Coturnix japonica: one gene and its partner. The main gene of each other region encodes a partner of the protein of the gene in region 2 in a complex. Links are inferred from orthologs where the notes say so. Each region holds a gene or a part of one and is shown on either strand. Other genes may lie near its edges. The genes, in order: TMEM186 and NDUFAF1.

Region 1 (3,997 bases), on a different chromosome or scaffold from region 2:
CCAGACCTCATTTAAGGGTTAGTAGTGGAGGTGAGAGCATCTTGCTGGAGATCCCTGTGTATCTGAGGCCTTCTGAAGGTAAGCAGCTTCTTTCCTTTGTTTCTGTGCCCATGGCTGTTGTGTTTGAGCATGTTTAGGACCTTGATGCTGTGCTATTGCTGCTGTACTTTCATGTTACAGTGTTTTGTGTTAGGTTGTTTGGCAGGGGGAGGATCTGATTTAAATGAAATGGTGTTTCAAATGAGATTATTTCAAATGTGATACCTATAGAAAATGTGAGGCCTTTTCCTGCAAATTCTCTTCGTAAATCAGCTACAAATTTTTCTCTTATATGCTCCTTCTGTGTAAGAAAAACAAAGAAACAAAAGGGATCAGCTGCACGCTGTGTTAATTCAGCAATAGAAAAATAATAACTAAAAACACCCAATCACCTTATCAAGTTCATAGAACTCAATTCGTTCTTCCTGGCTACAGCTTCTTCCAATGGGGGACACGTTTAACATCCCATTGCGGAATTCAATAAAAGTGCCCCTGAAAGAGAATTAATTAACAAGGCAGAAAACAGATGAAACAACGTTTAAGATACTGAATGTAGCAATGAGGCTTTGTTTAAAGACAGTGGGACCCCTTTACATGAGGTGTCTGCTTTGCACATTGAAGCCCAGCACTCTTAGATGCTGACTTGAGATGCATCCTATGCACATACCTTTTCTTTGGCAGTTTAATCTTTGCAATGTAACTCAGGCAGTAGTTGATGAGGTCTTGGAGCACCTCCTCACCCAGGTGACCCTGAATGTTCTAAACAAAATCAATACCATTAATTAACCCAGGCTCCACATCTGGAGATCCTTGAAACAGTTTAACAGGAGAACACAGCTGGTGGATAATCAGCTGTGATTGCTGGCACAGAGCAGTGGCCTTTCAATAAGGAACTCTCCATTGATTTAACTAGAAGTTCCCACTTTTTTTGCCCCTACCTGCTTGCTGAAGAACTTCCCATCTTTGTAAGCCACGAGCCCGTTCTCTGGAAACACGTAGTCAAACTTCTCAACCACTGCAAACAAACAGGAGGAAGGTGGTGACAGGAACCGCCCGTGTGTTCAAACGTGAGTTACACGGGTTAGAACGAGTGAGATCCCAACGGGAAGAAGGACTCGGTAACCCCGGGCACAGCCCCATCCCGTACCGTCATCACCGAGCTGCTCCTTGATCTTCTCAAAGTCTGAACCCCCGACAACGCCCACCTTCACCTTCTGACGCAACCTCTGCAGGAACTCCGCCATCTCCGCCGTGATTTTCTACGGTCGAAAATCAAACAGTGCAATCGGGGTCAGCATTACCCGGAGCTGTAACAGCCCCGTGCCCAGCCCATACAGCCCCGTGCCCAGCCGTGTGTGCAGCCCATACAGCCCCGTGCTCAGGCGCTGCCCCATTGACCGCTCCAGGCCCCTCATCCCGCCCCGCTCGGCCCTGATCTCCCCCCGCCGTTCTCCACTCACCTGCCGCGGCGCAGTGAGGGTCCCGTCCACATCGAACAGACACAGCACGGCTCGCTCCGCCGGCGCCATCGCGGCTGTGAGCAGCGGGGCCAGCCGGGAAGGGGGCGGTGCTGTGAGACGGCGGCGTGGCAGCGCTTCCCTCATGGCGATGGTGAGTTGTGGTGGTGCGGGGGGAGCTCGGCCTGCTCAGGGTGCGCGGCTTTGGGCCTCGTTGTTCACCTCAGTGTGCCCGCAGGTCCGGCTGTGCTGCGTGAGGAGCGGCCGCGCCTTGTCGGCCATGGGGAGGTGGCTGCATGGGGGGACCTGCAGGACGGTGTGGAAGGAGGAGGCCGCCGGGCCGCCCTGCTCGCTCGGTAGGGCCGTGTGTTGGTGGGCACACAACGGGAGAATCCACGGCTTTCTCGGTGACCGTGTGCCGTCTCGGTTCCTGCGCCGTTGGTCTCACAGAATCACACAGAATCACACATTGACCCGGGTTGGAAGGGACCTCAAGGATCATGTAGTTCCAACCCCCCTGCCTGGCAGGGCCGCTCCTGTCGCTGCCATCCCGCAGGTTGGAGGAGGTAAAAGCGAAGAGTTCCGCGTGGTGTACAGGTTCCCTGGTATTAAATACTGCCGGCTGCTGTCGAGGTTGAAGCTGCTTCAGACCGCAACGACGCTGCTGGTGCTTCCACCCGTGTGTTACCTGCACCTGCAGCAGCAGCTGCCCCAGGCCGTGCTGCTGTACACGGCCGGCATCGCTGTCTTTGCCGCTGTGATGCTGTACGGGATGAGTTACTTTTTCAGACGAATTATCGGGTTGATTTACTTAAGTGAAAGCGGAAGAACCGTCAAAGTGTCCCACATGACGTTCTGGGGGAGGCGCAACGACATCTGCTGCCCCTTGGAGACGGTGATGACTTTGGATGAGGTCGGGGATGCCAGGGGAGAGCTGCTGCTCCGGTTCAGAAGGTACAACAGCACAGAGGTCTTGTATTTCACTATTAAATACGGACAGATTGTGGACAGACAGAAGTTTATGCAGATATTTGGAGAGCTGCAGTGATTCAGCGGCAGCTGATGCCTCTTGTTGTATTGTTCCTTATGTGGATTCTTGCACAACATGCAATTCGTTTATCGAACTGATACACTTCTGTCATTTTTGCCACGTCTGCTGGGCTGTGTGTTCAGTGTAACAGTATCCAACAGTCCTCTGGGTAAGTAAGTAAGTGTTGCAGTTCTGGGGTGAGCAGGAGTGCTCCTTTTGGATGCAGTTAGTGTGTGCAGTGTCACACAGCCATAGAGGCAGCGAGGTGCTGCCCTGCAATGTTTCAGCTTTGGAGGCTTTGGGTAAAAAAAAACCCAAGCTTTCAAAGTGAGTGTCAGAGCATCCTCATTTCAGATTCACCTTCAGCAAGGTTTAGGTTAGCTGGGAAACTTAGTGAAATTCAAGTGCTCCCATACAGTCGTATGATAAATGATGCTAGATGTCAGAGTGATACTGGCCCATGGATTTATGAGCAGTAATTAGTAGTTATAATGGTGAAAAGGCTTCCTGACAATCATAAAATCAGTGTTAAAGAAACGATATTTGGATCAGCTCTGAGTACGCAGGGCTGGTGGCTGTGTGGGTGCAAACAGAACCCAAGTGCTGCTGCACAGCTGATGTCTGGGTGGTTAAAGCCCCTCCAGGAGCCTTCAGTGTTAAATCATTTCCCATTGAAATAAAGGAAGAATGCAGTATTCTTCGTTTGTGGTGCTATGAATGACAGGGAGCCCTTTCTCAGTTCGGATTTTAACAATCATTATGTTGAAATTTGGAACTACTTGTTCTTGTCTGCATATGTTCATGCTGGGGGGGTTGTTTGTATGTATGTGTGAATGACATTTAATCACTGCTGTAGCACTCGAGTTGCAAAAACAGTAAATATTGCTAAAAAATTATCTGAGACTGAAGTCACCAACCTTCTGTTTACCACCATAGATCACCATGTAGCTGTGGTTCAGCTGCTCTGTCCTGCTTGATCTGTGTGTTGATTTGGGCTCTCTAACGTCTACAGCACCCTTGGCAAATACCCACCCACTGCCCTGACCTAAAACAAGGGGAGAAAAGGTAAAACAGATAAAAGCTGTGTTGAATTACAGCTGAGAAGTGTAACAGGTGTAGCTTGTTCTGTTGAACTGGTAGAGCTGATCACAGCCCCCCCTGTGTGTGTGGAGCTCATCACCTCACCCCCTGTGTCTGTAAAGGGCAGAGGAGGTGCTCTGCTGTATTATTGATTCCTCCTTTGCCAAAGCCAAAATCTCAGCAGAAATCAGGATTTAAATCTAGGAACAAATGTAGTTCAATGTACAATGTCCTAAAGGTTTGTACAATGCAGTACAAACCTTTAGGAGCAGCAGATTGTTTGGCACAGGGGAAAGGAGGCCTGGGGACTTTATTACTCTCTACAGTTAGTTACCTCAAAGGAGGCTTTAACAAGGCAGGGCTCAGTCTCTTCTCCCAGGTAATAGTGATT
Region 2 (3,915 bases):
CAAGAGGAAATTGCTGATGCAAGATGGTGTCAACTCTGTTGTGCTTTGTCGCAGTCTCCATTTAAAACAGAGCTAGGATTAGTATTTTTAAGGTACTTTTAAGTAAGCAGAGGACACTAAGTGAAGTCAAGGCTTTGATTAGACTGTGACATCTGAAATGAAACCATTTGGCAAATGTTTTTTGAGGTGTTTCTTAATAAGGTGTTTCTTAAATTACTGAGAACAGAGGGAAAAAAGGGGGGGGGTTAGGGAACTGACCATTTGCCACTTGATGCTTTGCCCCTTTCTGCAACATAGTGAAGCTAATAACTCATCAGAAAAGCATCGTTTGCTCTTACTGGGACTGTGGGTAACTGTGTTCATCAAGGTGAAGTGCCCTTCTAGGGAATGGATGCTGATGGGGCCCCCCCGGCGCCTTACTTCGGTTCAACAGCTTCATCTTTCTACTTTGTAGCTCTTATTACCCATAAAAATAAGAGCCAAATCAGTTTCAGTGCTACTGTTTCACTCGAGGCAGCAGCAGGTTTTTCTTTTAGTTCCTTACAGGTGCCAGAAGTTCAAGTCTGACATATGTTACGTCCTGTTCTTTACATTTCTAAAGCTGTGACACTTAAGCAGTATTATCACTGTATTTACACCATAACTTCTCCAGTTACAACCTACTGAGTTCAAGTGTTTTACAGCTCTATAAACAATGTATTAGAAAATCAAACTGAGTACAAAAAACCAACGCTACATTAACAAAATACTTTTATTTCCCTAAAGATCAGGAGAAAAGTCAAAATATATCCAGGCAGCAGTTAGCACACGGTAAGCATGTAGTGCAGCTCTCACCGGGCTGTATTCCAGTTCCTGTAGGTGGAAGCTCTCAGCCTGGCATTGGCAGCTTGATGATGCCAACAGTGTCAGTCTTGTCAGATTACTGAGTCAACACTTCATCCACTTAACATTTAATGTTTACATGTTTATATAATTGTAACAACTTGAAGCATGTTCTCACACGTTAAGTAAGCAGCTGATGAATGTTCCAAGGGATGCAAGACCAACTTAGGTTCGAGGATTCCTTTCATATGTTTCATAAGCAAATTCTTCTGTGTGAGCTCTATCGTTCAGCAGGCCAATAAAGTCAATCTCCAGTTGGAAGGGACCATCTATTTTATCTCCCAGTGTGAATCCAAGGGTACTAATCTAATAAAAGAGATGCATAAGTTAGAATACATCTTAATAATGTTACAACCAGTATCTACCACTTCCACATCCTATAAGTAGTTCACATCCACTCAGTCTACGAGTTATTTAATAATACTCAATAAGTATTATATAATTATTATAATAATATTATATTCTATATTATATAAATATATTATTATATAATATTAAAAGTATTTCTGAAGCTGTGAATATTTTATTTTCAATACAGGCTCCAATGGAATTCACAGTTGCTTCTCTACCATTAAGTCGTAACATGTACTGAAAATGGCCTAAGCCTGGTGCAACACTGGGATTTTCATCCCTTGAGGTTTGGATGTTGTCAGTTGACAACATGAAGGGGTGAACAAACATCCTTCTGTCACACCTTTTTTTAACAGTTCTAATGTGAGCAGGAAGCACAAATACAGTGTAATAAGTTCCTTCCATTCTAAAGTAAGACAGAGGCCTGGTACAGTCTGAAAGAGCCCCAAAGCCAACATTTTGCAAAACATAAAACTCAGTAACAGCTTTATGCCACACACTGAGTTATTTAGTCACAGTTTTCCACTTCAAATAGCATTTTTCAAAAGAATGTCCTTCATTCATTCCCTACTGCTACACTAATTTATTAAATAATAACTTTCTTTTAATTGTAATAAACCCCATAAAAATCCCCAGGGCTCAGACATGTTCCCCATTAGCCTGTAGTGTATGCCTTGAAAACCTTCTCTTGTACATCACCAGTCTTTCAGAGACTCCATTGTTACTGGTTCTCAAACCAGTCTCAGATTGATTCTAAGATTTCAGCTGCTTTATCTTCCCCAGAAGCGAGCTCTGCAGTCAGCCCCCCTGGCCTCTGGAGGCTACAGAAGTTCTAAAGCTTTCTGTTACAGGTGACTGCAGGAGTCACCTAAACTCTATGATGTTCTGAAGAATTTACCCCTTCATAAGCCCTAGACACTCTGTGATACATGCTTACCTTTGCTATTTATGTCAGTACTGTGCCAAATTGCATTTTAGATTTCTCAGTCACTTTGATCATTCCCTTAAAAAAAAGGTTTATTTTTTTTTAACAGCCAAGTTATCTAAATCTCTTAAAAATGTCTTTGGAGCTACTTTGAAGTCAACTGACGCTGAAATCACAAAGTAGGATAATTTGCATGCAAAGCTACACACACAAAAGAAGTACCTTAAAACAAGTAGAAACCCCTCTTGAATTTTAAATTTAAAAACACTGAATATCCCAAGGATCTCTCAATTGCCTACACGATGGCAATGCAACCTCAAAGTAGCTCTGGCAAATTAAGCCTACAGAAAACTTGCCTTGTCCAACCAGATGGGATGTTGGTCATCCTGTACTCTTCCTCGACTGGACAGAAAGAATTTGGAGAACGGAATCTGACAGCAGAAACAAAAGAAAAATAGACTTTAGTGTCACCAGTATATATAGAATAAAACCTTAAAGGGGAAAAAAACAAACAAACCCTGCCTTAGAAAATGAAATAACACTAAATCTGGTACCAGCACTTCAAAGTCCGAAGAATCAGCAAAAAGCAGCAGGTCACTCATTAGCCATGTGCTGCCAGCTCCAGCCCCACACTGCCCTCCAGCAGCTGTTTCCAGCTGTTAGGCTGGATTCTGAGCTAGCTGGATGCTCAGAGATAGCTCAGATTGACGCAGGAGAGGTTGAAGCATGGAAGATGGCTGTTCACATCTAGAATATCACCTTCCAATGGCGTGTCAGCTTTAACAAATTAATGAGAAGTCTAGGATGCACTATAGGCCCACGGAGAGCTCATCCACATCCAGCCTGCATATTCTATACTGCAAATTTCATTCAAAGACATCAACGTCCTAGCAAACAGTTCACAAAAATATAACAGTGATTTGAACTGGGTGGGAACAAGAAAGGAGGGCTGTGACAAGGGACAGGAAACGAGAACTGGCTGCTGTGAGTGAGGAACACGTGCAGGCCAGCAGTGACACACTTCACTGTCCTCAGAAAAGAGCTGAAACTCCCATTTCTTGCCAACATTACAGGGTGTCACAGATTCAAAGGCTGTGACTAACAATCCACACACCTCTGAGGCCCCAAGTGACTCCAAGTTTGGCAAACCATGTTGAAGGGTACACATCCTACACCAATCTAAGTCCATTCATTACAGATAAAACGGTTATTGCATAGAAAGTTCCTGGCGCTGCCTGCAAAGCTGCAATAGCTGCATCTATTCAGTGCATGCTCTGACCACCCACTGTATGAGCTGAGTATGCACCCTGTGTGGCTGCTTGTTGTGTTTCCCAGTGTTAAGACCCACAGGCTCCCAGACAATCATAGATACAGAATGGCAGGTGCTCCTGAGCGCCACTACAGCCCCACACACACGTGGGACAACCACGATGTTCTAGTTTTGGTGGCTCATTTTTTGTTAGTCTGTACTAAAGAGCCCTCAGCTCATGAAGCCAATTTCAGATAGGAGTAGAATTTATTGTTTGTTTGTTTCAATTAATTAAATTTAAGTATATACATACATTTGTCATAATGTATGTATTATAGCACATATATTCCCATTCTATAGCATGGGATATAGTATACATGTATAGCGCCAGCCCAGTTCAAAGGTCTGCCTCCTGTAACAGCAAACAACAGACATTCCGGGAAACACGTGGTAGATTATTTAAAATACATAATAGATAACATATTCATATACTAACACTAAATTTATT

The links.
Region 1: NDUFAF1 (region 2) and TMEM186 share a complex: the UniProt entries of both Homo sapiens proteins name them as parts of the mitochondrial complex. The link is inferred for Coturnix japonica from reciprocal best matches to the Homo sapiens genes NDUFAF1 and TMEM186.

The regions. Positions count from the first base shown.
Region 1 is NC_029529.1:9,416,268-9,420,264, forward strand, and holds TMEM186 (transmembrane protein 186), read left to right. Parts: upstream 1-1,641; coding exon 1,642-1,650; exon of another isoform or gene 1,651-1,734; coding exon 1,735-2,544; 3' UTR 2,545-3,422; downstream 3,423-3,997. Other genes in the region: PMM2 (phosphomannomutase 2), read right to left, coding at 265-340, 432-531, 707-798, 978-1,054, 1,187-1,298, 1,500-1,643. UniProt on the Homo sapiens protein: As part of the MCIA complex, required for efficient assembly of the mitochondrial complex I.
Region 2 is NC_029520.1:21,995,679-21,999,593, forward strand, and holds the end of NDUFAF1 (complex I intermediate-associated protein 30, mitochondrial), read right to left. Parts: intron 2,590-3,915; coding exon 2,515-2,589; intron 1,189-2,514; coding exon 1,048-1,188; 3' UTR 734-1,047; downstream 1-733. UniProt on the Homo sapiens protein: As part of the MCIA complex, involved in the assembly of the mitochondrial complex I.